2 linked regions of the Bombyx mori genome follow. The protein of the gene in region 2 interacts with the protein of the main gene of each other region in a biochemical or structural test. Links are inferred from orthologs where the notes say so. Each region holds a gene or a part of one and is shown on either strand. Other genes may lie near its edges.

Region 1 (16,464 bases), on a different chromosome or scaffold from region 2:
GACAATTCCAGTAACTACATTCTTATTATAATACACTAAATAACACACATAATGTTGTTAAACTATCTAGGGCAAAGTTAGCTGGATATTCTTCTTATCAAGTCACTAAAAATTCTGATAATTATAATATTTAATATTACAACATTACATGATTTGGAGCCAAAATATTAGCGTTTGCCAATTGAGAATGCCGCCAATAGATGGCACTGGAAATAAATACTAAATCGCGACATCGTTTGTTGTCTAGGTTTTATAAGAACCCTGGACGAGAAAATGATAGCGCGACAACACCGATTAGTTTTGAGTGCTCGTTGAGGTAACGAGAAAATTTTTGAAACCAATCTCGCTCTTCGGGGTGAGATTGCAGAATTCCATTGAAACGTCATTTATTAAGTTTGCACAGTGATTTATTAATGAACTTGCAGGACATTTTTATCCTGTAAATTATTTGACGTCCGGTATCCACTAAACAACAGACCACGAAATCAAGTGTCGTTACTTCATTAAAGGCAAATAATGTACTACCGCTACTACTACTACTGCTACTACTGACAACATAATCTTGTAAGTCGTCGTGGTCTAAAGGATAAGACGTCCGGTGCATTCGTGTTGAACGATGTACCGGTGTTCGTATCCCAGGCGGGTACCAATTTTTCTAATGAAATATGTACTCAACAAATGTTCACGATTGACTTCCACGGTGAAGGAATAACATCGTGTATAAAAATCAAACCCGCAATTTATAATTTGCGTAATTATTGGTGGTAGGACCTCTTGTGAGTCCGCACGGGTAGGTACCACCACCCCGCCTATTTCGGCCGTGAAGCAGTAATGCGTTTCAGTTTGAAGGGTGAGGGAGCCGTAGTAAATACACTGAGACCTTAGAGCTTATATCTCAAGGTGGGTGGCTTATATACGTTGTAGATGTCTATGGGCTCCAGTTACCATTTAATACCAGGTGGGCTGTGAGCTCGTCCACACATTTAAGCAATAAAAAAAACTAACATTGAAAATATAGTTAATTTGATTATACAAGGAAATTATTAAAAAGGAAAAAACATTATCCATTGGTGCTTACAATGAAAAAAATATTTAAAGCCTCGATGTCGAAATGATGTCTATCAATGTAATTTCGTTATAATAATAATATAATAATAATATAATGGTTTGGTCCCTAAAAGCCTCTCAAAACATCTCGAGAGGCTTGGTCTCAACAAAAAGTCGGTGGTGGCCCAAATGCAAAAAGCAGTCTTGCTCGACAATGCCCGTATAGTTCGCCGGTTTCTCTCCCAATAGTCCCTAACGCTCCGGCCGATTGTTGCCCACCTCGCCGGAGTGTGTCCTGCCGTCTTCCCAGGCGTGGCAGTGTTTAATACACTATAATAATATAATATCGTTATAATAATTTTAATAACTGTTCCTGCACTACCAGGAACTACCACTCAACATCATTGTTCATTCACAATGCGTATTTCGAGATCATTCGTACTATCGATAACTCCTCTCCACGCTTTTTACTGAAATTTCAATAAAATTGGATTGGATTGGATTTCAATAAAAATCTATACTAATATTATAAAGAGGAAAGATTTGTTTGTTTGTTTGTTTCGAATAGGCTCCGAAACTACTGGACCGATTTGAAAAATTATTTTTCCATTAGAAGCCGACATTGTCCCTGATGAACATAGGCTACTTTTTTTTAATTTTTTTTATTTATTTTTTTTGGTTTCATGTGTGTTTTAATGTTTCCGAAGCGAAGCGAGGGCGGGTCGCTAGTAATACATAATATATTTTGCAAGAAACCATCGCGTTGCTAAGTGAATAAGTTGGCACTCAGAAGTGGAAATAATGCATTTGCAGGTCATTGAGTAAAGTTATCTTGAATTTAATTTTTTCATGAATAAAGCATCAAATCTCTTTTCAAATTCGAGACATCATAATATCAATGGCAAAGCGAGCGTATACGTTTTCGTGACCTGAGTTGATTATAAAAAAAAACAAAATTAATACGAAATGACTATTTCTAATGATTCAGAACAAAAACATCTTATAACGCTTTTCTGAGATTCTGAATTATAGATTTATTCTAACTGACGATAAAGTACATCGGTGGGTAATATATAAGAGCAAAATTTGAAAGGTTCAATAAAATAAAAACAATCGATATTACTATAATTTATGTTTATTAAACGTCGTGATACATAGCGACAATGCTATTGTATTATTGTTACCAAAATAATTCATGTTTCTTAATACAATTCTACTTTTTTTTTTTATATTATAAACAAGGCGAACTCACACGGAAATAAAAATCTTTATCACAATAAACTTATCAAATTTTCTATAATTAAATAAATTGCGCTAAATATTTACAGGTATCGGATGAAAAAGTTTAACGACAATTTGAAATCAAACGATACAAACTACACTACGTGATCAACGAAAAACTGTTAATATTTTTTAATTGAGAGCAATGTTTAACGATTTCAATTTGCATTAACGTTAAAACAAAAACAAAGAAAAACCTCAATTTTAGTTTTGTACTTGTAATAATTGCTCATGCGCATCCATCAATGATTCCAATCAAAGATGATACAAAACCAATTTTGGATCAATCGTTGAGTCGGTCAATAAAATTGACATTAAAATAAAACAAATAGACAATAAAATTACTGAAACTGAATTTTTATGTAAATATATCGCTGTAAAAAGGACAATACCATAATTGTGGCTTTTCATTTATTTATCTTTCTTTCGTTAATATTCATTTCTAGAATTCCTTTCCATTCACACATTACTTACTATCTTGTTCTTGAACGTTTTCATTTTAATATTTTTTGTAAAGTTTGATCTCAAGTTGTTCAGTCATTTCTTTTTTTTCATTCAAAAATTAAATAACCGCCTTCATTTCGTCGGAGTAAAACAAAGCATTTAGTTTTGCATAGCCTTATGACGCAATACCAGAGACAATAAAGAGAATGATTATTACTAATTTTATGTATATTATTTGAATTATCTACGTTAAAGTGCAATAATACATATTTTCCTTATTTTAAGGGGATTTTAAAAAAAAAGGGTCAATTTCAAAATCATTCCATAAAATAAAGAAAACGTCGCAAAGGTACCAAAACATTTGCTTTTTTTCACCTTCGAGTTTCATAAAATTAGATTGACTGAAATTACCTATCTGGTTATTATAAGACATTAATACTAAATACATAGGTGTGCATATAATACAGGGTGTATTGAAAGGTGTGGGTTCTTATAAAAAAATAAAGACAGTGGTGTTGATTGCAAAAAGCATATTCGTAAATTTTATTATTTTGATGCTATTTTTATTATTTTCAACTGTCATCTAACTGATCGTAGTAAGGCGGAATACGCCTAGGTTGGAGTGACTACGATACACGAACTCACCGGATCTTACTAAAACGAATTATCCCTATTCTAATACATTAATGATACTTCCAATTTATTTTCAGTTAGGAATTCAAGAACACTTCCCAATACGCCTTGTACGTAGTAATATTGACGAGAGTCGGAACAAAAACTGACAAATTATATTTTGACATTTAATTTTAACTGTGGCAATTTAAATATACCGTATTTACGTTTCTCATTACACTGATCTGAACATAAATAACCAAATTTTCCGGAAACAAGAATCTGTAACTGTGTTATCAACAACGGGGAGATTTCGTTTCATATTAAAATCAAAAATTCTTAAGATATATGAAGATTATTTTATATTATAATTACCAAAAATAATGCGATATTTGATGTCTTTATTTTTGTTTAGATGCTCCTCAATCACAAATATTGTTTGATTACAAATAAACTTTACAAATCGTACATACATGACAGTTTAACCGACGAAAATTACTAAATAATTACACACATATTATAAGAAACGTGCCAATGTAAAATGGCACTAAAATATTAAAAATGAACACATCACAAGACTAATCTATAAATATAATATAATATTCAAACCGTAATAGCTATTCGTACATATCTTTTTTTTTGTATTTATTTATAGCTTTTCGCTAATTTTTTTTTTCTTATTAATACCTAATACGCTTGATAAATGGCTTTATTGAGTATAACATTTTGCTAGTACTCTACAAAAATGTAATTGTAATTATTAAAATTGAGAGTACGTACAGCGCAAAGTTTATAGTGAAGAAATAGAAAAATATTATGAAATTTTTAAATATATCGTCGACAAATAATACAAAATACGATTAAACTGTGACAGCCGTCTAGAGATTATCGCTGATACAGCCCAAATGGTATTAGTCAATCGTTTATATTAAAATAAATACTGTTGTGAAATGACAACTACCCTCGAAAATTTTATATCGGATTTTAGTGCTTAAAGACAACAATCTCATGAATTTTCCTGCATTCGGGTGCAATGAAAATACATTTTATTATTAAATCCACAATCCTCTTTTTTCTCCACGTCAATATAAGCTACGCATAACATTACGATTATAAACAGTGCCAACTAATATTGCTTATAAAATCACCACTAAAAATAACCTCAAATAATTAAATGTTAAGTTTTTAACATTATATTTCAACATGCATTCAACATTTCACATGCATGTGACTTCGTGAATTCTATAATTTAATAATTCCTATATAAATAATGTTCTAAATTGAAATGTCGGAATATATTACACATAATTTTTGACCAAAAGTGTATGAAACGTTCACAACAACCGTTTTTATCGATATCTGTATTTATATGTTTCTATGACGTTTTAATTGTACTCTGACTCGACCTACATCGGATAGGGCTTCGCTCATACGCATTTAAAAAAATATACATAAACGTCATTATATAAATATAATATAGTTCTATCTAGTACAGTTAAAGAGGTAGATTAAATATTGCAAATGTATTTCGAAATTGGTCGTTTTTTTTGTTTTTTTCATAAAAATAATTTAATACTTTTTTTGTTTACGTCTAAGTGCTTGGTAGCATATAGATCGCGAGCGCTGTGCTCTTGGCGAGGCGTTAGGCAACAAGAACAAACCGGTTGAAATGACAAAGCACCGTAGTCACGACGCGCGGTCCGCCGCTAATTCCACATGAACACACACGGATAACTTTAAGTTTGATGCTGTCAGCCACTATCCTGATCGCTACTCACACCGTACCAGCGTTTCTTACGTCACCACTCTTACGTCACATTTCAAAAGTTTGACGTCTCGTGATAACGCCCGCGATTCGACAAATCCAAGCAAGTTAAAAACGCAACGCGTGTAACCAACACTGAAAGCTTTTTCAAATTATTTTTTTAAAAGAGCTCTAAATTGTTTCAATTTGTAGCCTTTCAAAGAATAACTGTTCGAAAACATGTGATGAAAGCTATTCAACGAATAAAACGCAATCTATAAACGGTATGGTCGTTCAAGTTCTTAAATCCCAATCTAAATTATCATAGTTCGCGATGATCGGCCGCTGCACACAACAACATTATTAAAGATTTTGTTATTTTGTTAACAAAATTGTTCAGTTGTTTTTTTTCACTGATCACCGAAACTTAATTTAGATAATTTAATTTGATAATATACCAATCGCCAATATACACTAACTTGGCTAAACATTTCAAATTTTGACATTAGACAACATGGCGCAACTTTTGTCTTTTTGTCTTGTAGCAACAAACATTTCCAAACGACGAATATGGCAATACTGTCAAATGCCTGCGCATACGTATTGCTCATGTAGTTGATTATTCGTGCAAGTACATAATTTAATATGATAGGTTATTTTTCATTTTCATTAATAACATAATATTACGTAATTGAGTAATGCCTACTCGGCTCAGCTTTTAGCCAATAAACATCGAATTTAATTTATTTGACAAATGTTTTACTATTCCTGAATTAATAAACCGATTTAAACCAAGAAGACTCAATGCCGTAACTATAAAAATTCAGTTAAGGGAATTTTCGAACATTGTTTTTACAATAAATCTCATAGAACATTATAAATATACAATTAAGATTGAAAATATAATTATACATTACGTTAGTTAAAGGGAGAATTCGATATAAAAGGCGCATGTATATTTAGATATTTAATTAAAATGGACACTCAACATTAAAACTAAAGGATGAGATTCAAAATTTAACTGTAACGGTCAACATATTCGTATTATTATAATTTGTCATTACCGAGATATTACTAACTTTTTAATTACTTAATATTAGACACTGTTAGTAAATTACCCGTCATAGTTAAATGATGGACTTCATCATCATGGATTCAACAAAATAAAAATAAAACATCACAAACAACATTCCTTTCCATTCCATTACATGACATTGTTAAAAAATATAAAAATAAAATCAACTAAGTACATAAAAATGTACATATTTTTTTAATAATAAAACTACGACTACAAATCTTCCACGCCAAATGTCTAACTAAATATACGAGTAAACACGTTTGTGCATTACTAGAAAAGGATAGACTGCGAAATCAACAAAATCAAAATTAAACAGATTTTTTTTTATAATACATCATGTAGTATCGTTCTTTTAAGGTTAATAAACCACAGACTACTATATTAAAGAGAAATATTTCTAGAGAGAACTGGCAACAGCACAACAATAAGGTATAAGTGCAAGGAAATAAATAATTATAGAGTTATTATTCAAAGAGTAATGCACTTATTTTCGTCAAACATGGGTTCCAATAACAAAAAGAGATCTTTAATTTTTAATCAGCACAGAAGCTGTAATACTCTCATTTAATTTACCACTGAAACACCTATATTGATTGCCCTAGCTTGATTTCTATCATTTCATTATTCTTCCAATATATAAAAAGTCTCATAAAATACCAGATAAAGCTATTTTGTACGTAAAATTTCAACTTCGATATCAAATAATTCACAGCCCAATTAAAATAATGCCCGATCAAATTTTTTTTTATTACTATATTTACACAAATACTAAATTTGAATCAAGAACATACTTCAAAGCCCTTCCTTGTCTTTATTCGTAAATGTTTATCTTATAGGATTTGGTTTCGTGTTCTCTACAATTACATATTCGCTGTACTGAAATATTGTTAAGCACAACCTTACATTATAAATTTTAAAAGTAAACTAAGCATATTCGTACTACGTAGCTTTAAAGTTTATTTTTTTTATAACATCTTAGCAAATCGAAATTGACAATGTTCCCGTAATCACTGTTTTTGTTTAATAATTTTCAAACATAACTTTCGTTCTGTAATTGCTAAAATATTTCTATAATTTACATGGATATAAAAAAGATATTTAAACGAACAAATACCTCTTTTTTTAATTTTTTGATATCGTTTTTATATTTCCAAGTAGAGCATTTAGCGTAAGCGAGCAAGCAGCATTATGCGCACCCTACGTTCTTACGTATTCCCTACTGATGTTCAAACAATCATTTCTTTCCCAAGTGTCGAAATAAAAAAGAGTTAACATTATCAATAAACTCACCTAATATAACATTGCTTCAGATTCTATGAACACGATTTGTGACCTAAAAAGGTATTCCACAAAAACTTCTTATATTATTTTCTTTATGATTTTACCTTTTTCTACTATCAAAGTTTTCACGATTACAAAAATTTTGAAAAATATTCATAGGTATCCAAAAATAAGTATTCATATCTTTTTCATAAACACGATAATATGCAAAATTTTGAAATAAATCGCTCGCTTTGTTTGCCAACCGATCTTTGTAGAATAAGTACTCATTTATATAAGTATTAAATCACAAGTTCGACTGAAAATATCACAACGAATAAATAAGGCCAACCGACAGAGCAAGAAATGAGTGAAAAATATTGTCTCAATATCTACTGCAGAAACACATCAGAGGAGATATATTTTTGTATCGGTTCTTAGTTCATATTATTAGTATTATAGAAATGCGTTTGCACATCTCTACTTATTGACAGCTGTCAAAATTAGAACGTCAAAATCGAAACGAATACTCCGTCATCTTGTGATGCAAATTTTTGACAATATCAACCCATCACTCATACTTGCTTAGTTTTCAGTAGAAACAAACACTTAAACAGATATTACTAGCTATTGAAAAGCGAACACTTGTAACTTGAAAAATCTTTAAATGTGTCTCCGGTTATTTGCTGAAAAGTAAGCAAACTTGACTTGTGCCGTATTTTTGGTATAGCAACGATTTAAGTACCAAAAGGTGGGCATTCATGGCCTTAATTGTGTCAAGTCTGGTGTTATAGAGAAGAAATAGATCGTTAGTGTCTAATCTTTAAGAGACTTGGCTGCGACGACAACCCTCGAATTTTCGGTGCATACCAATATCACACATATAGTTCACCATTCGTTTTTTTTTTTTTTATCGCGGAAGTTAGTAGTAATCCTGATTTATCTCTAAGGAGCAATTTTTATTTTGGTGATTAGTGTTATTGTTGCCGAAGAAACAGTTTCGTTTAATAAAACTTTGTATTAATGCAATAAAATTAGTTAAGAATTAGCTGTAGCAGGTTAATGTGATGTTTTTGAGGAAATTTTCGGCGAAACTGCTGACCCAGAAATTAACCTACTCTGGAGTAGGACTGTTTGTGGCCACCATTGTTTGGATATTGTATCCCTGAATCAATTTAGTTCTTAGACTTGATGCTGAACGAGGTTGACATATGAATAATTTAGTTTTGCAAACGTAGCTTACAATGCGATAATGATCTAAAAAAAACTTGATTCATGATTTAGAAAATTAGGAATTCTTTATTTTTGTGGGTAAAAAAAGGAACGAATTACTAAAATCCACTTCTTGACGTGTTTACATTTTATAGAGAATCAAACAAAACGAAGAAATGAAAAATTCCCAAGTACAGTAATCAAATTCTTTTATCTATTAAAATATGCATCGATTTTCAACTAAAGCAATTAAACATCTTCATTCGAAACGAATGTAAGAGTAGCATTGTCTACTAATATTCGCACTTCAATAAGAAATGTGAAAAAATCTGAGCCAATGTTTAGCTTTGCAATACGTGTACTACTATAAAAAACTACACTTAGACTAGTATTGCTTTAATAACCATTTTTGTTTCTTTAAAGCCATAATATGTAAAGAAATAAATTTTATTAATTTTTTATCAATTTTATTACATCGCTTCTTTGGGAATGAGTATATATATATTAAAAGAAGTATACGAAAAATATGTAACAACTACGTATTCTATATTAAGATGCTTTTTTTTTTATTTTCACTTTTTCTATCACATTTTAATCATGAGAACGTTTTTTTTTTTAATTTTTTATCCTGTTTCATAAATCAATTTGATCAGCATCCAAGAGCTAGCACACACGAATGTATTATGCAAACCGGCTTTGAATTGAGTATTCACTTGCAACCGTCATATTGTGTTATAACCCTATTTTAATGACAGATGCGTTCCATCAAATCAAAAACCTACGAAAAATACACAATTACAAAAATATATATTTTTTTCATTTTTTTCAAAATGTTATCAATACAGACTGTGGTTACAGATTTGCATAAATACATAAATAACGTGCTTAGAAAAACAAAGCCAAGCGCTTTGAGTACCAGCTTTGAAAAGCATTCATCTAAATGTCAAATCCACGTCATGCAACAATTCCTTTACAAACAATCGACCTTACTATCCGTGGTTGGGTTCATAGAAATTTCGTCGTAATTTGACCACTATTATGGTAAAAAATCACCTCAAAACGTGACTCAAAAAATATATTACTCTTTTGGGCAAATCGAAGCGGATCAAATTTGTATGCTTATCCGCAAACACATTCTAAGTAGGGGCGCGCAAATCTGTAACCAACCTCATCAATGTTACATATTGTTTTACGATACGACTTTAGAATGCGGACCTGTTAGTATCGTTTGCATTATGCTAGAAAAATACTCGATCTCATCAAATTGGTGACGTGATTTGACCAAGCTCACCAATGTGTTGGCCAAAACTGGTGACGTCACTTCGCAATACAAACAAGAATCTGACATAAAGAGCTCACGTGCCATTCTATTTTGTTTTTATTTAGTGATAGTGGTAAGACGAGCAACAAGTCAGAGTAAGGCAACTTTGATAGAAACAAAATTAGAAATTTGTTAATTATTCATTTTGTTTCAATAAAAATGCTTTAGCTTTTTTATACGTTTGCTACAGATTTTAAATGTTTGTACGGTTATACTTTTATTTTGAAATATTGGTATTACGTTTAAAACGCAGAATGCAAAGAAACCGGGCCTAAACACAAGACTCAAGTAATATGGTACCTTAACAAAAAAAAGAAAACAAAGTACTAATTCTAATCCAGAAATCGATATCATTATCACTTCTCTTTTCATTTCGCGAACCCGTCATTGGAAAGCGTACAAAACTTGGGAGTCAACTAATTCAATCAGTGTAGTTTACTTTTTATTTTGCGGAGCCGTCATTGGAAAACGTACAAAACCTACAAGTCAACAACCTCAGTTAATGAACCCCGAATGAAGGCTGGCGAATGCTTACCCCCACACATGTACGAACGTTAACCCCGAGTCATCAGTTTTTAATAATTTTAATAACGTTTACCGTTCAACTTGTTAGCCACCACTACCACCGGTCTATATAAATGAAAATTTAACAAAACAAAAATATATTTTTTTCTTTTTTAATCCAAACGAGACCACAGCTACGTTCTAAACGGTCGTATCATAACAGCGAATAAACCAAATTAATCGTCATACATCAGACGACTAACGATGAAATAATGGCGCATCCAAACGCAAAAACACACACTTTACCGTTTACATAAAAACAGTATTAGAGTCCAGACCCGTATGTTAGGGCATAAAGAACGCAAATAACAGTTTCATGTTTATCTAAAATAGACACTAACATAGTATACCGGTCGTCGATTTTGCCTCGGCGCTGCGATGTTCTACACCCAGACTGGATGCTTCGGGACGCAGGGCGAGGACAAGGTCCAATGTTAGGGACGGTGTAGGAGAGGCGTCTCTTCGGTGCCCCAGTGGTAAGGGCCCTCGTCACGCTGTCGCCCGCTGCAGTTGTTAGTGCAGCACGCGGATTCACTTGGGCCAGCCTGAAATATTAGGATAACTTTAATATTCATACACCACACACATTTATATATTATACACTAGTGGTCCCCCGGTAGTCGAAATTCGATTATAGTTCATTGAAATTATAAGTTTGTACACTATTATGATTCTATTTTCAAAAACTATTTATTATACTTCTGTAATCACAAATTTCGCCAAGACTACACTATAGAAAAATATTAATAAAGACAAACCTTATTTAATCTATTCTCAATTTGACCACAGACTATAAGCAATAAGAAAAGTTTGACAATAAACAAATAGTATGCATGCGTGTGTTTGTCAAATACACGGTAGTGTCTGTAATGTATTTTTTATTTTATTTAATGTATTTTTTAAGCATAATTTAAAAACAATATTAACATTCTGCACTCCTCTATGTTCTCTATAAGTGTGGGAAATTTCATACTCCTCCGTCTGTGCAATTTTCGTAAGAAGGAGTACAAAGTTTTGCTTCACGTATTAATATATAGATATACTGGGTGTTAGGAGACCGCTTCCAAAAATGAAGACAGACGAGAGTACTAATGACACCTTGGACGGAAAAAAATAAATCCCGACTAAAAAAGCCCGACGTTTAATTACAAAGATAAATGTCTCGTATTAAGCGAAATTTCGCTTAAATCAAATAGCCTTTCACCCCTCGATATATATTTTCTGTTATCTCGTCTAATATACAGAACTGAATTACAGACGAGTCAGTTGAGTCGGACCTCTCGAGAATAAATCGAGAAGCGACATAATCGTGTACCGAGAATTATCTTTATATCGTCTTAGCATCTCAGATTCCTTAGGTATTGGGACTATATTTGGGACTATCGGGTAAAGGAAAAGTAATTCATACTGAACGGTCGAAGGATCACTTGAACGGTAGGAGGACCACTTGAACGGTCGATTCGTTCTTTTGTCGACTATTTTATATGTATACTAGCTGTACCCGTCCGCTTCGCTGGGCATTTAAAATTAACATTATTATTTCTCACCCCCACAAAGATTCTCATCATTAACGCCCCCGCAACTGTACTGGTGTAGAGTCCAACACTCATATAAATATTAATCTGTCCATTAAGTACATGTATTTTCTACATGAATACCAAGTTTCAAGTCAATCGGATGCATGGTTCAGTAATTATAACGGAACATCCGTAAATACCCCTGTAGATTTATATATATTAGTATAGAGTATAGATGAGAACGGTCAATTCATTCCTTGTCGTCTCGTTTGTGTCCGTCTTTTAGGAAGTCAAAAAATGTACCACCTGCCGCTAGTCACGTACGCCCTCGTTCCATTACACTCTTTATTTTTGAATTCTTGTGAAATGTCTGTCTTAATCTGTGTCTATGTCTAGTCTTTGTAGTTCTTAGGACTTTTTGGCGGGAACGCGAGGAGTGAAGTAGTGTGATTTGTTTTATTTTGTCTGTTTAGTGTTTTTCAGGTTTAAATGTGTAATAACGGTGGTTTATTAACCATTTAATATCTGTGAAAGTGCACAAATGTGGGAAAATGAAACAAAGTCGCTGGACGTAACTTCTTGGGATCCTCCAACAAGCCCACTAAAAAAAATTCAGTAAACGACCACCATTTTACTGAGATTATATATCATCCCATACCATTTCTTATCATTTCATTTCATTTCACTCAATATTATCATTTTTCATAAATATAAGAATATAAATTAAAATAAGACATGACTTAAAGGTCTTGGTTACCAGGTCATAAAATCCCTTCAAAAAAAAATTGTAGTTCTTATGACCTGTCAAAAGGGTTTTTTTTTATCAAAGAGGTTGCCCGCCACGACACATACCTTCGACAGATGCAAGTCGTATAGATGTAGCGTGCTGACGGACATGTCGTGCGTGTCGTCGCCCGGTTTCTGCTGCTGCTGGGGAGCGAGCCCCACGGCGCTGACTCCGAGAGCCGAACTGACACCAGCGAGACCTAAGGACGTCGAACGAGCTGCGGAACGTGAAGCGGGCCCCGGGATCGGCGGTTCCTCTTCATCACTCAGCTCGTCCATTTCCTGAAAACGTATCTTTCGATTAGACATACTCTCATTTATCAGTTATTTCGCTCTTACTGAAATCGATGGTAGGGGAAAATATCGTAATCTTTACATCTTTCTATCCATGTTCGATATTATATTTTATGGTAGGCAGCGGCTTGACTCTGCCCCTGGCATTGCTGACATCCATGAGTGACGGTGACCACTTACCATCAGGTGGACCGTATGCTCATCTGCCTAAAAGGCAATAAAAAAAATGAAAAATATACTAAACTCTACACAACTTTTTGATTAAAATTCTTCGAAAAAAAATTTCTGCCGTGAAGCAGTAATGCGTTTCGGTTTGAAGGGTGGGGGGGCAGCCGTTGTAACCATACTGAGACCTTAGAACTTATCTCAAGGTGGGTGGCGCATTTACGTTGTAGATGTCTATGGACCCCAGTAACCATTTAACACCAGGTGGGCTGTGAGCTCGTCCACCCAGCTAAACAATAAAAAAACCGTTAATATTCTTCGTTTTCTTCACCTTATTAATGGGATGGGTCTAGATGGGTTTGGCACAACTAAGTTTTCTCTTCCATTCTCTTCTATCAGCCGTCATCTCAACACTCACTCCCCTCTCTCTCATAACATCATTCACACACTCCATCCATGTCTTCTTCGGTCGACCTCTTCCCCCTCTACTTTGCACTACCATTTCCATACATCTCCTTGTCACATGCATCTTCTCTCTACGCTTCACATGTCCATCATACCACGCTAACCGTCCGCTCTTTATTGAAACTCGATTGAAACCGTTAATATAGTATTCAATCTCTGGCCAGATGAATGAGACTCAATTATTCCAATAAGAATTAGTAGTGATTCAATGAAATTCAAATTCTACAGTCATATGTTTGGTGATCAGCGAGAGCTTACGTTTCACGCCGATCCTGTACGTGTAGTCAAACTTCGATACAAAGTCCGATCGGTGTAGTGATAACTATTGATGGGGCGTTTTGAAATTAAATCTATTTTTATACGCTTTATATTAGCTTCACTTGTATGTATGTTTGTATGTTTGTAACTGAGTTCTTTAGACGCGACTTTGAACCACTTTAAACGGCCAGATTTCATTCAAACTTTGTAGATTTATCGAGTAAAAAGTGTAAAAAAAAGTTGTTATTTCCTATTTTTAGTTGAATTTTATATAAAGCGTGTTCTTTAGTTTTTTTAAACTATTATTTATTGTTCTGAATTAATATTCTATTTTACTTACTGGTAACCTGTAGTTCTGCTTGGTCTGTTGCGGATAATATGAGAGTACGGCTGGAAGTGGAGTTACAGCACCGAACAGACTCTGCTGGATATATGAACCAAGCATGGTTCTATTCTGTAAGTGTAAAAATATGTTTTTGTTAAAAAAAAAAAATCAACCTTCTACTTTAGTAAAATATGCTTTGCATCAATTTGTGATTTAATCGTCTCCATGTTATCACTTTATTATAATTTTTTGTACCAATTTAAAATGTAAGCTATATTTCCATTGTAAATATGTATTATAGAATTTGTAAACATACATATTTGTAAATATTATAAAAAATATTTAGCACGCGTGAATAAACTAAGAATTCAAACGAATGTCTCATGTTTGTTTAATTCAATTAACAATTCATTAGTATCCTTACATTATTCTAGATTATTAAAATGCATTATTTTTTATTTATTTGAAAGTGTTAACAATAGAATATAAACTACAGAAGGTTCATTCTGTAAAGCTTACATTTGTGATACGTCCATTTATTCAGATCAATTTGTACCTAAGCATCTAAAGGAAACATCCGTTTTATTTTTTAAAACTTTGGATGTACAAATATATTTACTTCTTAAAAGTTATACAAAATAAATAGATAGATGTGTATATTTCAATAAATTGTTGGTATTAAATAAATATTCATAATTTATTCCTATTTATTGGTAATTGGTAAATACAATAAAATATAATATAGTGTATACTCTAATCCTCTTAAAAATATTTGAGATTTATTAATTTATTTTAATTCATATAATTTATTTTAATTCATATAATATTAATTTTAATTCATACGACCAATTATATGCTTACACACTGAGAGAATAAGCTTGTAAAGTGTTTAGTCTAAAATATTACACTTACGAGTTGATTGTTGGAAGGAATCGCTTGGTACATGCTCTGCTTCAGTGATTTTAGGAAGTACCTCTGCGATGGCTCTGTGGGTTGCCAGCCTGGGTGCCGACATGAAAACGCTACCAGAGACAACTCAGTCTTCCCACCTTCACCTTGATCGTACTGCGTACTGCCTATCGGGATAAGTAAATATTTTGTTTTTTTTTTATTATTTCTAGATGGGTGGACGAGCACACAGCCCACTTGGCGTTAAGCGGTTACTGGAGCCCATAGACATCTACAACGTAACTGCGCCACCCACCTTGAGATATAAGTTCTAAGGTCTCAAGTATAATTACAACGGCTGCCCCATCCTTCAAACCGAAATGCATTACTGCTTCACGGCAGAAATAGGCAGGGCGGTGGTACCTACCCGCACGGACTCACAAGAGGTCCTACCACCAGTAATACCACCAGAAATATGAGTTATACAAAATATGGTTTAACACTTTTTTCCTCTATAAATAAATTTGCAAATCCCTTAATAAATGGTGTTTTACTATCTGATTGAATTCATACTTTATACAGAATCACAGCGTCCAAACTGACCCTCTGATTATTTACAATTTCAACAAACGATTTATTGATTAGTTTGCAATTAGCACTTAACCTAGAAGACCAATAAAACTGGACTGGACTGTAATAATTTACTTAATTAATTGATTAAAATCTTCAAAAATTATCATAAACGAGAAACTTGAGTAATAAAAAATTGAGTTCCAATTTACATTGGTTATGGTCAAATTTGAACATCTGTGGACTACCCTCTCTATTATTCATTTAAAAAAATAAGAATCACAACGAACCGTTCATTTTTTCAGCATATTTCCCTGGTGTTTGCCATTCAGGATGACCGTGACGTCGTATATCCAGCTGAAACGATTTTCAAAAATGCTTTTCTTTTTAAATGACTTTTACGTTGAATGTTGTCTCGAATTCTATGATATAAATATATAAATAATACCGACTTCACACTTAGTTGAATTTATGAACTGAAAAATTAACGACAAACTTCTTTAGGAAAAAAAATTATATTTATGTATATATTTTTATAACAATTAGTGATTATGCATAATTTTTATTTAATTTGGGGAGGACGATGGTAGGGCACTATATGAGCGCTATTGGAGTAATTAAATAAAACGTCGT
Region 2 (15,495 bases):
TACTTTCAATCGACTTTTGCAGTCTATGCGGTATTTTTTAAAAATTTGAACCGTTCGTCTCTGTGTTGTATTTATAATAGTTTACTTCGACCCATTGAAAAGCGTGTCCTAGGTATATTTATTTTAAAGCTAATAAAGCTATATTTGTTTCTAAGCTATTGGTGTCCAAAACAAAGCGATATTATCCAATTAATGAAAGAATTATACTCTTTTAACCAAAAATTTTCGTGATTCTTAAACGTGAGCTCAATCAGTGAATTCAAGTAACCGGTCTCCATTTACTACGGCTATAGGCTGCCCTTATCCTCAGTTAAAATATCTCCGTGTGAAACACGAAATTGAATTATGAAATACGTACTCAACAAATGTTCACGATTGACTTCCACGGTGAAGGAATAACATCGTGTAATAAAAATGAAACCCGCAAAATTATAATTTGCGTAATTACTGGTGGTAGGACCTCTTGTGAGTCCGCGCGGTGGGTGTTGCATTTACGTTGTAGATGTCTATGGGCTCCAGTAACCACTTAACCCCAGGTGGGCTGTGAGCTCGTCCAACTATCTTAGCAATAAAAAAAAAAGACGGAGTAGTATGAAATTTCTCACACTTATTGAGTACGTGTTTATAGAGAAGAAGTGCAATATTTTTTTAAATTATGCATAAAAAATACATTAAGTCAATAAACGTTACACACACTACCATGTATGTTGACACAACACATACCTATACTCTTTATTGTCAAGCATTTGTTATTGTTTAAATTGAGAATAAACTAATATTGTTCTTCTTTAATGTTATTTTTCTATAGTGTAGTCTTGGCGAAATCTGTGATTACAGAAGTACAATAATGTTGAAACTTAAAATCTCAATTAATTATAGTCGAATTTCGACTACCGAAGGACCCCTAGTAGTGTTAATACGATAAAGTCTGAATATTTCATTTGGTTATGCTGTTAGTCTGTTTTCTGTATAATGAAGAGTAAAATAAACAAATATGTTCGTTCATTTCGCAACATTACCGTTGGGATTCGTAACTCGAGCAAATATAAATGAGTTGTACATAAACAGGGCTCGGTCGCGTTTTGTATAATTAATTAATATCTGAAACTTAGGACCGCAACCTCTTAATTTTACTTCAGGAACAAATCTCTTGCCTCAGTCACGCTCCGCCAAGAAAAATCGTTCTTCCAAACTTGATTCCCTTGTGTGGCGCTTGGTGAAGTTACGACTGCACGTCTTGTGAGAACGCAGGAAGTATTTTTGAAATTTTAACGTAAAAGACGAATCTCGATTTTGAAACAGTGCGCTTAGTGAGAGTTTTTTAACTTCTCGATCGCGTAAAAGTTAACTCAAATTTGTATGGAGTTGGAACGTTTGCCTACGTTTGCCGCTAGGGGCGCTGTTCCACTGATCTGCATACAAATTTGATTTAACTTTTACGCTATCGAGAACTTTAAAAACCTCTCACTAAGCACACTGGTGAGGTGGCGAAACCGCTTTCTTCTTTAAGGTCTTGAAAGCGTTCCCCCTATCGCGATCCCCGAATCTTGTCTTTTCTTACGACAAAGATAAATATTAGGTCCTTACATATGAAATTGGCGTTTTGTACGGGAGGAATACAAAGTCATATTTTTTTTGTTGTAAAATGTATTTAATTAATCAAAGTATGCACCGTTGTTATCTATGCACTTTTGCCATCTCATAGGTAGTTCATTGATTCTTTTACTAAAAAAAAACCATGGTGGCGAGAATCAATAAACCCTTTGAAGGCGGTTTGGACTGCCGCGTCGGAGTTGATTTTTTTTTGTAAGTTTTTTTTTTTTTTTTATAGCCCTATAGGCAGACGAACATACGGCCCACCTAATGGTGAGTGGTTACCGTCGCTCATGGACGTGAGCAATGCCAGGGGACGAGCCAAGCCGCTGCCTACCAAGAAGTTGTCCAAATTCGGGAAAAAATATTAATCTGTTGGAGCTAGTTCCGGAGAGTACGGTGGATGTCGCAGACATTCCAATTGTAGCTCATCTAACTTAGTGGTTGTTTGTTGTGCAGTGTGTGGTCTTGCGTTGTCGTGAAGCAGCAGTGGCTTAGAGCGATTGACCAATCTCGGTTGTTTAGCAACTAGTTCTTCCTTCATGGTTTGCAGTTGCTGACAATAGATATCTGCCGTAATCGTTTGGCCAGATTTAAGAAAGCTGTAGTGAACGACACCGGCGCTAATCCACCAAACACTCACAAGTAACTTTTTCTGAGTCAATTTTCATTTAGGGCAGGATTTGGCTGGATCTCCGGGGTTCAGCCATTGCGACGAGCGCTTTCGATTATCGTACAGTATCCACTTTTCATCACAACTAATGATTCGATTTCTTCTTCTTCTTATCAGCCCATGGACGTCCACTGCTGGACATAGGCCTCCCCCAAGCCTCGCCACAAAGACCGTTCCTGCGCTGCCTGCATCCAGCGGATCCCCGCGAACCTCAATAGATCGTCGGCCCATCTTGTGGGAGGCCTACCCACGCTACGTCTTCCAGTACGCGGTCACCACTCAAGAACTTTCTGGCCCCAACGATTTAGAATCCCTTAATTATTGTGTCCATTGAGCAAAGTAACACAGCAGTCGATGCGTGTTTTCAAGTTCGATTCACTCAATTCATGAGGTAGGTACCCATCGTTCAAGTTTTTTTTACTTTCCCGATTTGCTTCAAGTGGATTAATACAGTTTTATCCGCTTATGCTTTGTGATGGATCCGCTTCCGCAATAGCATTTAATTCTTCATTTTCCACTTTGGTCTCCGGCCGTTCACGGTTGGTTCTGAAGGTCGAAATTTCCAGAACGAAAACGTTGAAACCAAAAAGCGTACCGTGCTTTCTTTTGTGACACCAGCGCCCTACACATCATTAATCCTTCGAGTTGTTTCTGCAGCACGGATCCTACCGTGGATCCGTGCTGCAGAACTCATACTCATACTCGTAAATATGCAGATATTTCATGTTTACCATTACGCAGAATTAAGCGACGCCAAAGAAAAAAATTATGAGGAAAAAACAAATGAATGACTGTTTTAAATGAATTTATAAATTTTAATTTGGAATTCTTAATCAAAGCGGAGATATTTCAGATCAAAGTGGTCAGTAGGACAAAACGCTAATTTCATATGTAAGGAATTAATATACCTAGTCAGGTCATAAGTATTGTCACACAGTAAAAACTTTTCTTTTAGAATGCTGGCCACAAAAAAGTTTATTGAATTCGAATTTCGAATTGTTCATGAAAATAAAAATGTATACTTTTAGAATTTTACTCATTTTTAAATATGGAGTGGATGCTTAAAGAAGACCGTGTTGCAGTTATTGCGTTGCATCGTTGCGGTTACGCGCCAATTCAAATTTTTAACATACTGAAAAATTTGAATATAACCAAAAGATTCGTTTATCGTACCATCAAACGATACAATGAAGACTCTAGTGTAGATGACAGGTCAAGAAGTGGTCGCCCTCGGTCTGTTAAGACTCCAGCAGTGATAAAAGCTGTGAAGGCGCGAATTCAAAGAAATCCCAAACGTAAGTAGAAACTGTTGGCCCTTCAGATGGGGTTAAGCAGAACCACGGTGAAAAGGGTGTTAAATGAAGACTTAGGGCTTCGGGCATATCGAAGAAAAACAGGACATCGTTTGAATGCTCGTCTAATGGACCTGAGACTGAAGAGATGCCGCGCTTTGTTGAAGCGGTACGCGGGAAAAAAATATCGGGAAACTCTTTTTTCGGATGAAAATTTTTTTACCGTAGAAGGGAGCTACAACAAACAAAATGATAAGGTGTACGCACACAGTAGTGAAGAAGCGAGCAACCGTATTCCGCGTGTCCAACGAGGTCATTTTCCATCCTCGCTCATGGTATGGTTGGGAGTTTCTTATTGTGGCTTAACAGAGGTACATTTTTGTGAGAAAGGTTTAAAAACGAATGCAGTTGTGTATCAAAATACAGTCCTGACGAACCTTGTGGAACCTGTCTGTCATACCATGTTCAATAACAGGCACTGGGTATTCCAACAAGATTCGGCGCCAGCTCATAGAACGAAGAGCACACAAGACTGGCTAGCGGCACGTGAAATCGACTTCATCCGGCACGAAGACTGGCCCTCCTCCAGTCCAGATTTGAATCTGTTAGATTACAAGATATGGCAACACTTGGAGGAAAAGGCGTGCTCAAAGCCTCATCCCAATTTGGAGTCACTCAAGACATCCTTGATTAAGGCAGCCGCCGATATTGACATGGACCTCGTTCGTGCTGCGATAGACGACTGGCCGCGCAGATTGAAGGCCTGTATTCAAAATCACGGAGGTCATTTTGAATAAACTTTAGTGTCATAAGAATCTATGTTTTGTTAAGTTCAATTTGGTATATGAATGGTTACATAATGAATAAACTTGTTTCAATTATTTTACATTAAACATGTGACAGAATTTATGACCTGACTGGCTCCAGTAACTACTAAGCAATAAAAAAAAAGGTGGATGAGCAAGGGCTCAACGAGGAGTGAGATTTGTTAACAGCTACCCGACCGCCTCCAAAGGAGACCTAACAACTTAAGAGTAACTGCTTCGTGAACGAATCTACTACCGGATCGGAATCGTGACCCACTGAGAAGATAGGCCAGAAACTCAGCGAGCTGATGGTGAATGGGTTAGGTTGCACGTTGAACTATTTTAAGCGGTAGGCAGCGGCTTGGCTCTGCTCCTGGCATTGCTGAAGTCCATGGGCGACGGTAATCACTCACCATCAGATGGGCCGTACGCTCGTGTCTACAAGGGCAATAAAAAAAAAAGTTCGACGAGTATGGTTACCGGGGTTCCTAAGCCTACTCGTAGTGTTAGCGCTGAAGACGTCTAATGCAAAGGTTATTGGATCTGATGGATCCGTAAGGACGTGTCTAGGGCGTCGACGGTGACTGGCTCCTGCATGATCAGGATTCGGGGAGTAGTCAGCGGCGGCAACGATAAGGCGATTATCATGACGCATAGCCTTATCGAAGTACCGTTCCGACGCTGACTTCATATGTTTCCGGATGGATTCGAGGTCCAAGTCGTCATGTAGGTTAACGTTCCTCACGAACCACGGAACTTCAACGGCTAACCTGCAAAATCGGGATTGTAGGGATTGGAGGGTGTACAAGTGTGTGCGGACCGCGTGAACGAATTATTTTTCCCCTTTACATATACACCTCTGATCTAGATATATACGATATGTAAAATTTTCCGGTCTTTTGGGCCAATATTGATTAACCAAATATAAATTATGATTGTCTCACTAAATATGACGTCACACATGCTCTAAACCCGATTTCTGGTAAATAAAACAAATGCCAATTATTTTTTTTAATTCTTTATTATATACTTTCACACTACACTGTTACACGAATATATTAGTATGGTATAATATATTAATTATAAATATAATCAAATATTTAACTAGTTGCCTAGATTTTCAAGACATAACGTTAAGTTCGAACTATAGATTCAATTAATATATAAGGTAGAACAGCGTACAACAATAACTACTTCTATATACTCACAGCATCTACGGGAATGGCTACAAATAACACAATATATTTATGCATAATTTTTCATCGAAAAGCTCAAGAAATGCTTTAATTTTTCATTTTGAGATTCGACACAGATAACCGACTAACTTTAAGGTTTATCTATCATAGGAAAAGCTTATTTTATTTTAACTACACCGCTTACGTCACGATAATATATATATATGTAATATACCGTCTGAAGTTTTTTAGGTATTTGTCTCATAAAACATAGCTGTGACAATCTTTATACGACTTAATAGTAATTACTTCTGTGACGGTCTAGATCAGACGGGTTGGTAGTTTTCAGAGCTATCGTTATTTAGATTAGCTAAAATGTTATTCGTATGATACAAAATATATATATATAAAAGTAAAATATTAGAAACAAACTTGTAATGATGTAATGAATAAATAAAAACTACGCCTTTACTATTTATTTTAATAAAACATAATTGAAACCTTACCATTTTATTTGATTTTATACGAAAATTAAAAATAATTACTTAGGGTATATCTTTTAATGTTCAAGACTGTAGTCTATTCCATGTGCCTTTCAAACATTTTAAAATAAAAGCAACATTTTTTTAATTAAGATATTCAAAGCAATAAAAAAAAATGCTAAATTTACTAATAAAAAAAAGAATAAAAATAAAATATTATTACATTATTTTATTATGAATATTCCCTAATCGAAATGAAACGTAAAATTATATACAGCATAGCTATTACATTAAATTGTATTTGTATGGTTTGTTTTTTTTGTTGTATTTTTCGAATATTCGTACTCGTTGCGATTCACGAAGCCAATCTGTAACAAAACAATAGACTATATCGAACCGGCTATTTGGTTTAAGCTCTACGCTCTACACTCACTCCTCTCTCTCTCTCTCATATCGTCATTCACACACTCCATCCATGTCTTCTTCGGTCGGTTCTAGTCACTGGTGGTAGGACGTCTTGTGAGTCCGCACGGGTAGGTACCACCACCCCGTCTATTTCTGCCGTGAAGCAGTAATGCGTTTGGGTTTAAATGGTGGGGCAGCTGTTGAAATGTCTGTAGACTCTGGTAACCACGTAACACTAGGTGGGCTGTGAGCTCGTCCACTTATCTAAGCTATAAATAAATAAAATAGGTGACGGCATTGACATAGCTGATGTCTGTAGACTCCGGTGACCACTTAACACCAGGTGATGAGCTCGTCCAGCCAATTTAGCAATAAAAGAACTCCTGCTTCTCTACTTACTAGTACTCACCGTCGCCGCGTCGTTCAGCACCTGGTCTCGTAGAGTCCGGAGCGTCCGATGTAGCGCACCCACTTGATGACGTCATGGTCCGAGTAATTCAGCTTCGGTTCGAACACCTTCAGGTAGCGAACCTGCCGACCAAACGCGCCCTTTTTATTTACTACCGAAGCTGATGGTCTAGGGAGAGACCATGTCAGCGCAACCTTAACTAGTAGGTGAGCTCACGGGGCTCAAACCTGACGTCGTTGCTAACACAAACCTTAGCAAGAGCCGTGCTTCGCAGAATCTACCACCGGATCGGAAACGCGACCCACTGAGAAGATCCGGCGAGAAACTCAGTGGGCTGTATTTATGGGTTAATTCGCTCGTCGAGCCCTTCGTCTCAAGCGACGGGTTCAACGAGAACGATGACTGGTGCTTGAGGTACCTAAAAGCCCCGTTAGTGGATCGGGAGGATCCGTAATGACGTGTTTTGGGCGATGTCGACTGTTTACCATTCGGTCCATAGAATCGGCTATGTAGTTATTACAACGCGCCCCCAATCACAACATAGGAGCACCTGAATGATATAACAATGAGGTTTTTAGAGAGTTTTAACTGTGAACGTGGAAGGCTTTAAAAGAAAAGGTCGACCTAAGAGGAAATGGATGCTTTGCGTGAAAGACGATATGTGTAAGGGGGGAGTGAGCGAAGTAATGGTATATGATAGATGTTGCGCTGGCCCCAGGTGACTGGGAGAAGGGCAGGAGAATGATGATAACGAGAACGGCCGACGTGCTACATCAAGTCTCTTCTTGAAGATTAAATAGTTTGACATCTTTGAACGTGTGTATGTGATAAAACCCTTCTTGAAGTGAAACTTCTTTAGAATCGTGATTTCAAACTCGATGAAAGGAAAAAATAAGTCCATAGACACAAACATATAAATGTATAGGATTCAGCCGGCGAGAGAATGAGATAGAACACATTAGACGTTCTCGGTCTCCTCTTTGTGCGACTCTTCGTAGCATCCCCACCATCGTCTACTTAACATTGTCCATATGTAAGCTCCTGTGTAATGGGATAGTCAGTATATCTAAGTCAGTATATCTATATCTTTTTTTTTTGCATAGATGGGCGGACGAGCTCACAGCCCACCTGGGGTTAAGTGGTTACTAGAGCCCATATACATCTACAACGTAAATGCGCCACCCACCTTGAGATATAAGTCCTAAGGTCTCAGTACAGTTACAACGGCTGCCCCACCCTTCAAACCGAAACGCATTACTGCTTCACGGCAGAAATAGGCGGGGCGGTGGTACCTACCCGCGCGGACACACAAGAGGTCCTACCACCAGTAATTACGCAAATTATAATTTTGCGGGTTTCATTTTTATTACACGATGTTATTCCTTCACCGTGGAAGTCAATCGTGAACATTTGTTGAGTGCGTATTTCATTAGAAACATGTCGCTTAAACCAAATGGCCTTTCACTTCTCGATATGTGATTTTTATTAGCCCCTTATTTTTAAGCACAACTCTCTAATGATTTGTGTAGCTCGTTGGTCGTGCACAACAACAAGGATCACCTTGAATCCGGAGGGTGCAAAGGGAACTTCGAACCCCATGGAGATGGGCGGGCGCGTCCACTTCTTCTTGGTGTCGGTCTCGAGCAGCTCAATCTCCGCAGACAGCTGGGTCTCCTTCATGCCCGCCATGCGCTTGATCCTGAACATTTTCAAAATTCATTTAAACCGTTAGCACGATTACCTACACCAAAGTATATTTTGGAACGAAGTTCCTTATGGGACGATGCAGAGGGGTACCCTAACCGGGAAAAAACGTCCGTAACGTAAGATTTTTATTATTTACTAGCAACCCGCCCTCGCTTCGCTTCGGAAACATTAAATTTTATTATTGATAGTTGAGTCCCGCAACGTTACCCGTGGTTACTGTCGTACTGCGGGTGACGCCGCGGGGCGAAGCTAGTCTAAAAAAAACCTAAGTTACTGCTTATATCATCAGCTACCTATCAGTGAAAGTCCCGTCAAAATCGGTCCAGCCGTTCCAGAGATTAACCGGAACAAACAGACAGACAGACAAAAATTGTAAAAAATGTTATTTTGGTGTATGTACCGTATATAACTAGTCAGGTCAGAAGTATTGTCACACAGTAAAAACTTTTCTTTTAGAATGCTGGCCACAAAAAAGTTTATTGAATTCGAATTTCGAATTGTTCATGAAAATAAAAATGTATACTTTTAGAATTTTACTCATTTTTAAATATGGAGTGGACGCTTAAAGAAGACCGTGTTGCAGTTATTGCGTTGCATCGTTGCGGTTACGCGCCAATTCAAATTTTTAACATACTGAAAAATTTGAATATAACCAAAAGATTCGCTTATCGTACCATCAAACCATACAATGAAGACTCTAGTGTAGATGACAGGTCAAGAAGTGGTCGCCCTCGGTCTGTTAGGACTCCAGCAGTGATAAAAGCTGTGAAGGCGCGAATTCAAAGAAATCCCAAACGTAAGCAGAAACTGTTGGCCCTTCAGATGGGGTTAAGCAGAACCACGGTGAAAAGGGTGTTAAATGAAGACTTAGGGCTTCGGGCATATCGAAGAAAAACAGGACATCGTTTGAATGCTCGTCTAATGGACCTGAGACTGAAGAGATGCCGCGCTTTGTTGAAGCGGTACGCGGGAAAAAAATATCGGGAAATTCTTTTTTTCGGATGAAAAAGTTTTTACCGTAGAAGAGAGCTACAACAAACAAAATGATAAGGTGTACGCACACAGTAGTGAAGAAGCGAGCAACCGTATTCCGCGTGTCCAACGAGGTCATTTTCCATCCTCGCTCATGGTATGGTTGGGAGTTTCTTATTGGGGCTTAACAGAGGTACATTTTTGTGAGAAAGGTGTAAAAACGAATGCAGTTGTGTATCAAAATACAGTCCTGACGAACCTTGTGGAACCTGTTTCTCATACCATGTTCAATAACAGGCACTGGGTATTCCAACAAGATTCGGCGCCAGCTCATAGAGCGAAGAGCACACAAGACTGGCTGGCGGCGCGTGAAATCGACTTCATCCGGCACGAAGACTGGCCCTCCTCCAGTCCAGATTTGAATCCGTTAGATTACAAGATATGGCAACACTTGGAGGAAAAGGCGTGCTCAGACTTTTTGGCGGGAACGCGAGGAGTGAAGTTGTGTGATTTGTTTTATTTTGTCTATTTAGTGTTTCTTCAGGTTTAAATGTGTAATAATGGTGGTTTGTTAACTGTTTAATATTTGTGAAAGTGCACAAATGTGGGAAAATGAAACAAAGCTGCTGGACGTAACTTCTCGGGTTCCTCCAAAAAGTCCACTGAAAAAATCTCAGTAAATGACCACCATTTTACTGCGATTATATTTCATCCCATATCATTTCATTTCATTAAATTTCATCCCAGTTGATTAATGTCTCAAATTAATCATCTTCATTTAATTTCACTCCATATTATCATTTTTCATAAAATTAAGAATATAAAGTAAAATAAGACATGACTTAAAGGTCTTAGTTACCAGGACATAAAATCTCTTAAAAAAAAAAAAAGGCGTGCTCAATGCCTCATCCCAATTTGGAGTCACTCAAGACATCCTTGATTAAGGCAGCCGCCGATATTGACATGGACCTCGTTCGTGCTGCGATAGACGACTGGCCGCGCAGATTGAAGGCCTGTATTCAAAATCACGGAGGTCATTTTGAATAAACTTTAGTGTCATAAGAATCTATGTTTTGTTAAGTTCATTTTGGTATATGATTGGTTACATAATGAATAAACTTGTTTCAATTATTTTACATTAAACATGTGACAGAATTTATGACCTGACTAGGTATATTCATATGCATGTAGTTAAAAGCGGTTATATCAATATTAAAAACGGACACTCCAATTTTATTTATATGTATAGATAGATTAACAAAAACCCTACACTTACTTCCACACGATAGCGTTCTCAGAGGCTTTATACTTCGCTTTCCCCTTCAAGCAAATCAGTTGCACCCCGCTGGTGTTCAGCGGAGTTGGAATCTTCACTTCGATCTTCTGTCCGAGCAGGGAGGGCTTGAAGTTACTCTTCAGCACAACCTTGACTTCCATCTTGGTGCGGCCCACCTCCCGCACGAGCGGGATGACGCGGAACGGCAGAGATATGTCTTTTGTTGTGCGATACCTGTTGATAATATTTATATTTATTTATTACTAGGTTATAGTTTCTTATTACTAGGTTAATTTATTTAATTCGGTAGGCAGCGGCTTGGCTCTGCCCCTGGCATTGCTGAAGTCCATGGGCGACGGTAACCACTCACCATCAGGTGGGCCGTATGCTCGTCTGCCTAGAAGGGCAATAAAAAAAAATACTAGCGACACGCCCTCGCTTCGCTTCGAAAACTGTAATTTATTATTGATTTCTCCACTATTTAATGGATGTTATTATACATATAAACCTTCCTCTTCAATCACTCTATCTATTAAACCGCATCAAAATCCGTTGGGTAGTTTTAAAGATTTAAGCATACATAGGGATAGATATAGGGACAGAGAAAGCGACTTTGTTTTATACTATGTAGTGACTAGGTAGTAGAACCTCTTGTGAGTCCGCGCGGATAGGTACCACCACCCTCCCTGTTTCTGTCGTGAAGCAGTAATGCGTTTCGGTTTGAAGGGTGGGGCAGCTGTTGTAACTATACTGACCCCTGTATCTTTAGTCGTTCACACGAGCCTAACTCGACTCGACTCAACCTCCAACGCGCGTTTTGGTATAGTAACCGGCAAACTTCTTGAGCAAATGACCTTGACTGCGCAGAACCGAATTTTAGATTACTTTGGTGGTGAGGGTGAGGCTCGACGGCAGGGGAAATCGTATCGAGCGCGTTATTGGTAGATCAGTCGAACCTTGCGTCCCGCACCGCGCCCTCGTTCCGCTTGCTCCCAAAAGTACGCTTGCGTTCAGTGAAAAGTCTATCGTTATTAATCGTTAAGTTATTTGTTATAATTGCTTGTGGACTTAGTTGCCATTGCTATTTGTTGAGTGTTTGTTGATTTTTTATAAAACAAACACTATGCCGTGAAAAACTGGTGTAGTATTCAAAAGAAAGAGTAGAAAATTTGTGTACGACGTATATTGCTTCATTGTAAAACAGGGGAAGAATGATATGGAAAAATTAAAACAGACTTCGGAAGCAACAAAAACATCAGTGAGTACTGTTAGGTGCATTATTAACGAAGCTAGAGGCTCTGGCTTGCTCGCCGTGTTTCGGACTCCGGGTAAGAAAAGATCAGGGAAGAAGAAAGTTACCGGAATGGATAGTTTCGTTCAATCTGTAATAAAAAGATGTAATCATAATAACTACATAACAAGCAGCGAAACTCCGTACCGTAGAAAGGCTTCGAAAAATTTAAAGAAGATATACATTTTAATGGCTCGGAATGAAGCTTACGACGAATTATGAAAGAGCTAGGCTTCAGATGGAAAAAAGAACAGAAAATAATCGGAAGCTGGTAATTGAAAAAAGTAACATTCGATTACTACGAATCAAATATCTTCAAAAAATAATTAATTATAGACAAAAAAGAAGACCGAATCGACCGAGTTCTAAACTACGCCGATGAGCCCTATGTCGACTCATCACGATGATAGCGACTCGGGTGATGAAAACAGTGATGATGATGATGGTCAAGATAATGATAACGAAAAAAAAAACTACAAATACCAGCTTCGCTTCAACTGAACCAAGACCTGGCAACAGCTCTAGTTTTGACTTAATAGAAGGAATATCTATTTTATCCCAAGATTAAATCATTACAATTATTAACCTATATGTTTTGTTGATGTTCTAATAAATATATAAATAAATACATATGTTGATTTTAATAATTTAATAGCATTATGACGCAGAGTAAGTAATGTTTTTGCACGTGAGTGTACCATGCGCGAACTTACCCCCACTACGTCAGCAAATGCTCAAGAAGTTTGCCGGCTATTATATGCTTAGTCGTAAAAATAAACTCCACTCAAACGTCCTTGGAAAATTTTCCTAACCGGAGTGAAGTAAGCGAACTGTCAAATCAAGGTACGTCGCGACGTACCTTGAACGTTCTTCAAGGCTGGTTTTCTATCAATGTCCAAATAGTATGTGGACCGCATATGGAAATATATGATATTGTTGCGCAATGGCCTGGATCTGTGCATGAATCCCGCATATTTTGATAATTTAATTTTGATAATATTTATTAATAAAGTAAATAGTTCGAGATTAAGAATCTTGTTTAGGCTCGTGATTAGACATTTGAAACTCTTTATTTTATTTACCTACATAAGAGTCATATTTTGCTTACTACCTGATAAATAAAGTCAATGCGATTATAAGTTTTATTTATATAATAATAAACTGGTGGTTGTGGAAAAGCACTTCAACAACACAATGCAATCAAAATCACACAAAAGCGGCGAATAAAAATACAAAGCCGGATGCGAAATCTAAAATAATAATAGGTTAGAAAATAAATAATACACTTTCAGATTTACCGCACCCACACATATTTACGAATAACTCAGCAACCAAAACATCAAACAAGTTCATCTAGTGTCATGTTAACAAATTCACACACATTAAACAATGACCATAGACTACAGAACTCTATGGGTTTGATGCTAGCTTGATCAAATTTTCCTCAAACTGATGTTGTTGTGGTGACGCAATAACACCTCTCTACCTCACTCGAGGACAGTTGAGGAATATTGTAATGTCGACTAAAAATACCAAACTCGAGTAAGTTTGGGAGGAATGCTCGAGCATCATCGAATGAGTTAAGAGTGGAGGACTATTTTACAAAACGTCTAAAGATACGGGCATGAGACCTTAGAACTTATATCTCAAGATGGGTGAGGCATTTACGTTGCAGATGTCTATGGGCTCTAATAACCACTTAACACCAGGTGGGCTGTGAGCTCGTCCACCCATCAAAGCAATAAAAAAAAACTGGGTCCCACGATTATTTGTCGTGCCGCGGTTGACGCCGCGGGGCTAAGCTAGTCTAAAAAAAGTAGCCTAAGTTACTCCTTATATCATCAGCTACCTATCAGTGAAAGTCCCGTCATAATCGGTCCAGCCGTTCCAGAGATTAACCGGAACAAACAGACAGACAGACAGACAAAAAAATTTAAAAATGTTATTTTGGTGTATGTACCGTATATATATTCATATACACGTAATGAAAAGCTGTTATTTCAATGTTACAAACAGATACTCCAATTTTATTTATATGTATAGATATATTTAATCGACTCAGGATAAATAACAGAGCACTAACCTCATGAGTTCAAACTCTCCGTCTGGTGGTATGAAGGAGATGGAATGTTCAGTTTCGAACTTGCTCAGCTTCACGCACTGGTGGAACTGACAGTCGTCAATGACCACTACTGGCTTCCCAGAGCGAGCCGGATCACTGTCCGTGTTACCCGATATGCCTCCTGAACGAATCAGATTTTTAATTAATACGCTTCTATTAGCTTCAGACGTATGTGTATGTTTGTAACGGAATCTTTGAACATGATTTTGACCCCCTTCAAAACATCGGATTAACTCGAAATTTGGTATACTACTTATTAAGGACCGATGACATATCAATATTAAAAATAAAATTGAAAAACATATATGAAAAATTGAAATTCAACTAAAAAATGACAAATAAATAATAGCTTAAAAAAAACTAACAAAATACGCTTTTATAGAAAATCCAACTAAGAAATAGAAAATAAATTTAAATAAATTTGGATTAACAATAGTGTAAGAAAAAATTATTTTATTGTAAAAAAGGCGTCAGGGGCATGGTACCGGTAGTTATAAATATTTTATGAACAGATATGAGTAGGTTATTTTGATAATATCCTGGAAAGCACCCCACGCTTTTTTACAATAAAATCATTTTCACGGCCGTCTGGTGTAGTGGTAAGTGACATGGTCACTACACAAGGCGGTCGCGGGTTCGAATCCCGCCAAGAGAAGATATTTGTATGATAAATATAAATATTTTTTCCAGGGTTATGGATGTATATTAAATATATGTATATGTATAATAAAAATCTTACATTTATATCCGTTATCTGGTACCTGTAACACAAGTTCTTTACGAACTTATCACGGGACCAGTTAACGTGGCGTGATTGTTAGTAAATATTTATTTATTTATTATATTTATTATTTTTCTTACACTATTTTTAATTCAAATTTATTAAAATTTAGTTTGTATTTTTTTGTTGGATTTTCTATAAAAGCCTATTTTGTTAGTTTTTTAAACTATTATTTATTTTATATTAGCATGCAAAAATTAGCTGAAAAAGCTCTTATTGCAGATTCAGATCAAAATCAGTTCTTAATACTAGTTTATATCTCACCATTTCCCTTTCCCTTGGCTTCCATAACGATTTTATCATTGATCCCAAACTTGCACTCTGGCATCCCGGACAGATATGACTTCATGACCACTTTCCCAGCCACGTGAGCAGAGAGCACTTGACCTATTTCAAATTGAATACAAACGTACAAATCATAAATTATCTTCAAATCATAATCTTATGGATATTTTTAGAGCTGAATTAAAGAGGGAACAGTTGCCAACAGTTTGAATGTGACTACGATGTT

The links.
Region 1: the proteins of AP-2 complex subunit mu (region 2) and autophagy-related protein 9A interact in a biophysical measurement, tested with the Homo sapiens proteins (4 studies listed by BioGRID and IntAct, with this or other methods). The link is inferred for Bombyx mori from reciprocal best matches to the Homo sapiens genes AP2M1 and ATG9A.

Annotation. Positions count from the first base shown.
Region 1 is NC_085107.1:14,154,861-14,171,324, reverse strand, and holds the end of autophagy-related protein 9A, read right to left. Parts: intron 16,189-16,464; coding exon 16,122-16,188; intron 15,450-16,121; coding exon 15,286-15,449; intron 14,503-15,285; coding exon 14,389-14,502; intron 13,149-14,388; coding exon 12,933-13,148; intron 11,109-12,932; coding exon 10,998-11,108; 3' UTR 2,167-10,997; downstream 1-2,166. UniProt on the Homo sapiens protein: Phospholipid scramblase involved in autophagy by mediating autophagosomal membrane expansion. Cycles between the preautophagosomal structure/phagophore assembly site (PAS) and the cytoplasmic vesicle pool and supplies membrane for the growing autophagosome.
Region 2 is NC_085114.1:2,139,184-2,154,678, reverse strand, and holds the end of AP-2 complex subunit mu, read right to left. Parts: intron 15,372-15,495; coding exon 15,249-15,371; intron 14,325-15,248; coding exon 14,165-14,324; intron 11,025-14,164; coding exon 10,791-11,024; intron 8,535-10,790; coding exon 8,396-8,534; intron 6,958-8,395; coding exon 6,850-6,957; 3' UTR 6,836-6,849; exon of another isoform or gene 6,826-6,835; intron 6,390-6,825; 3' UTR 5,367-6,389; downstream 1-5,366.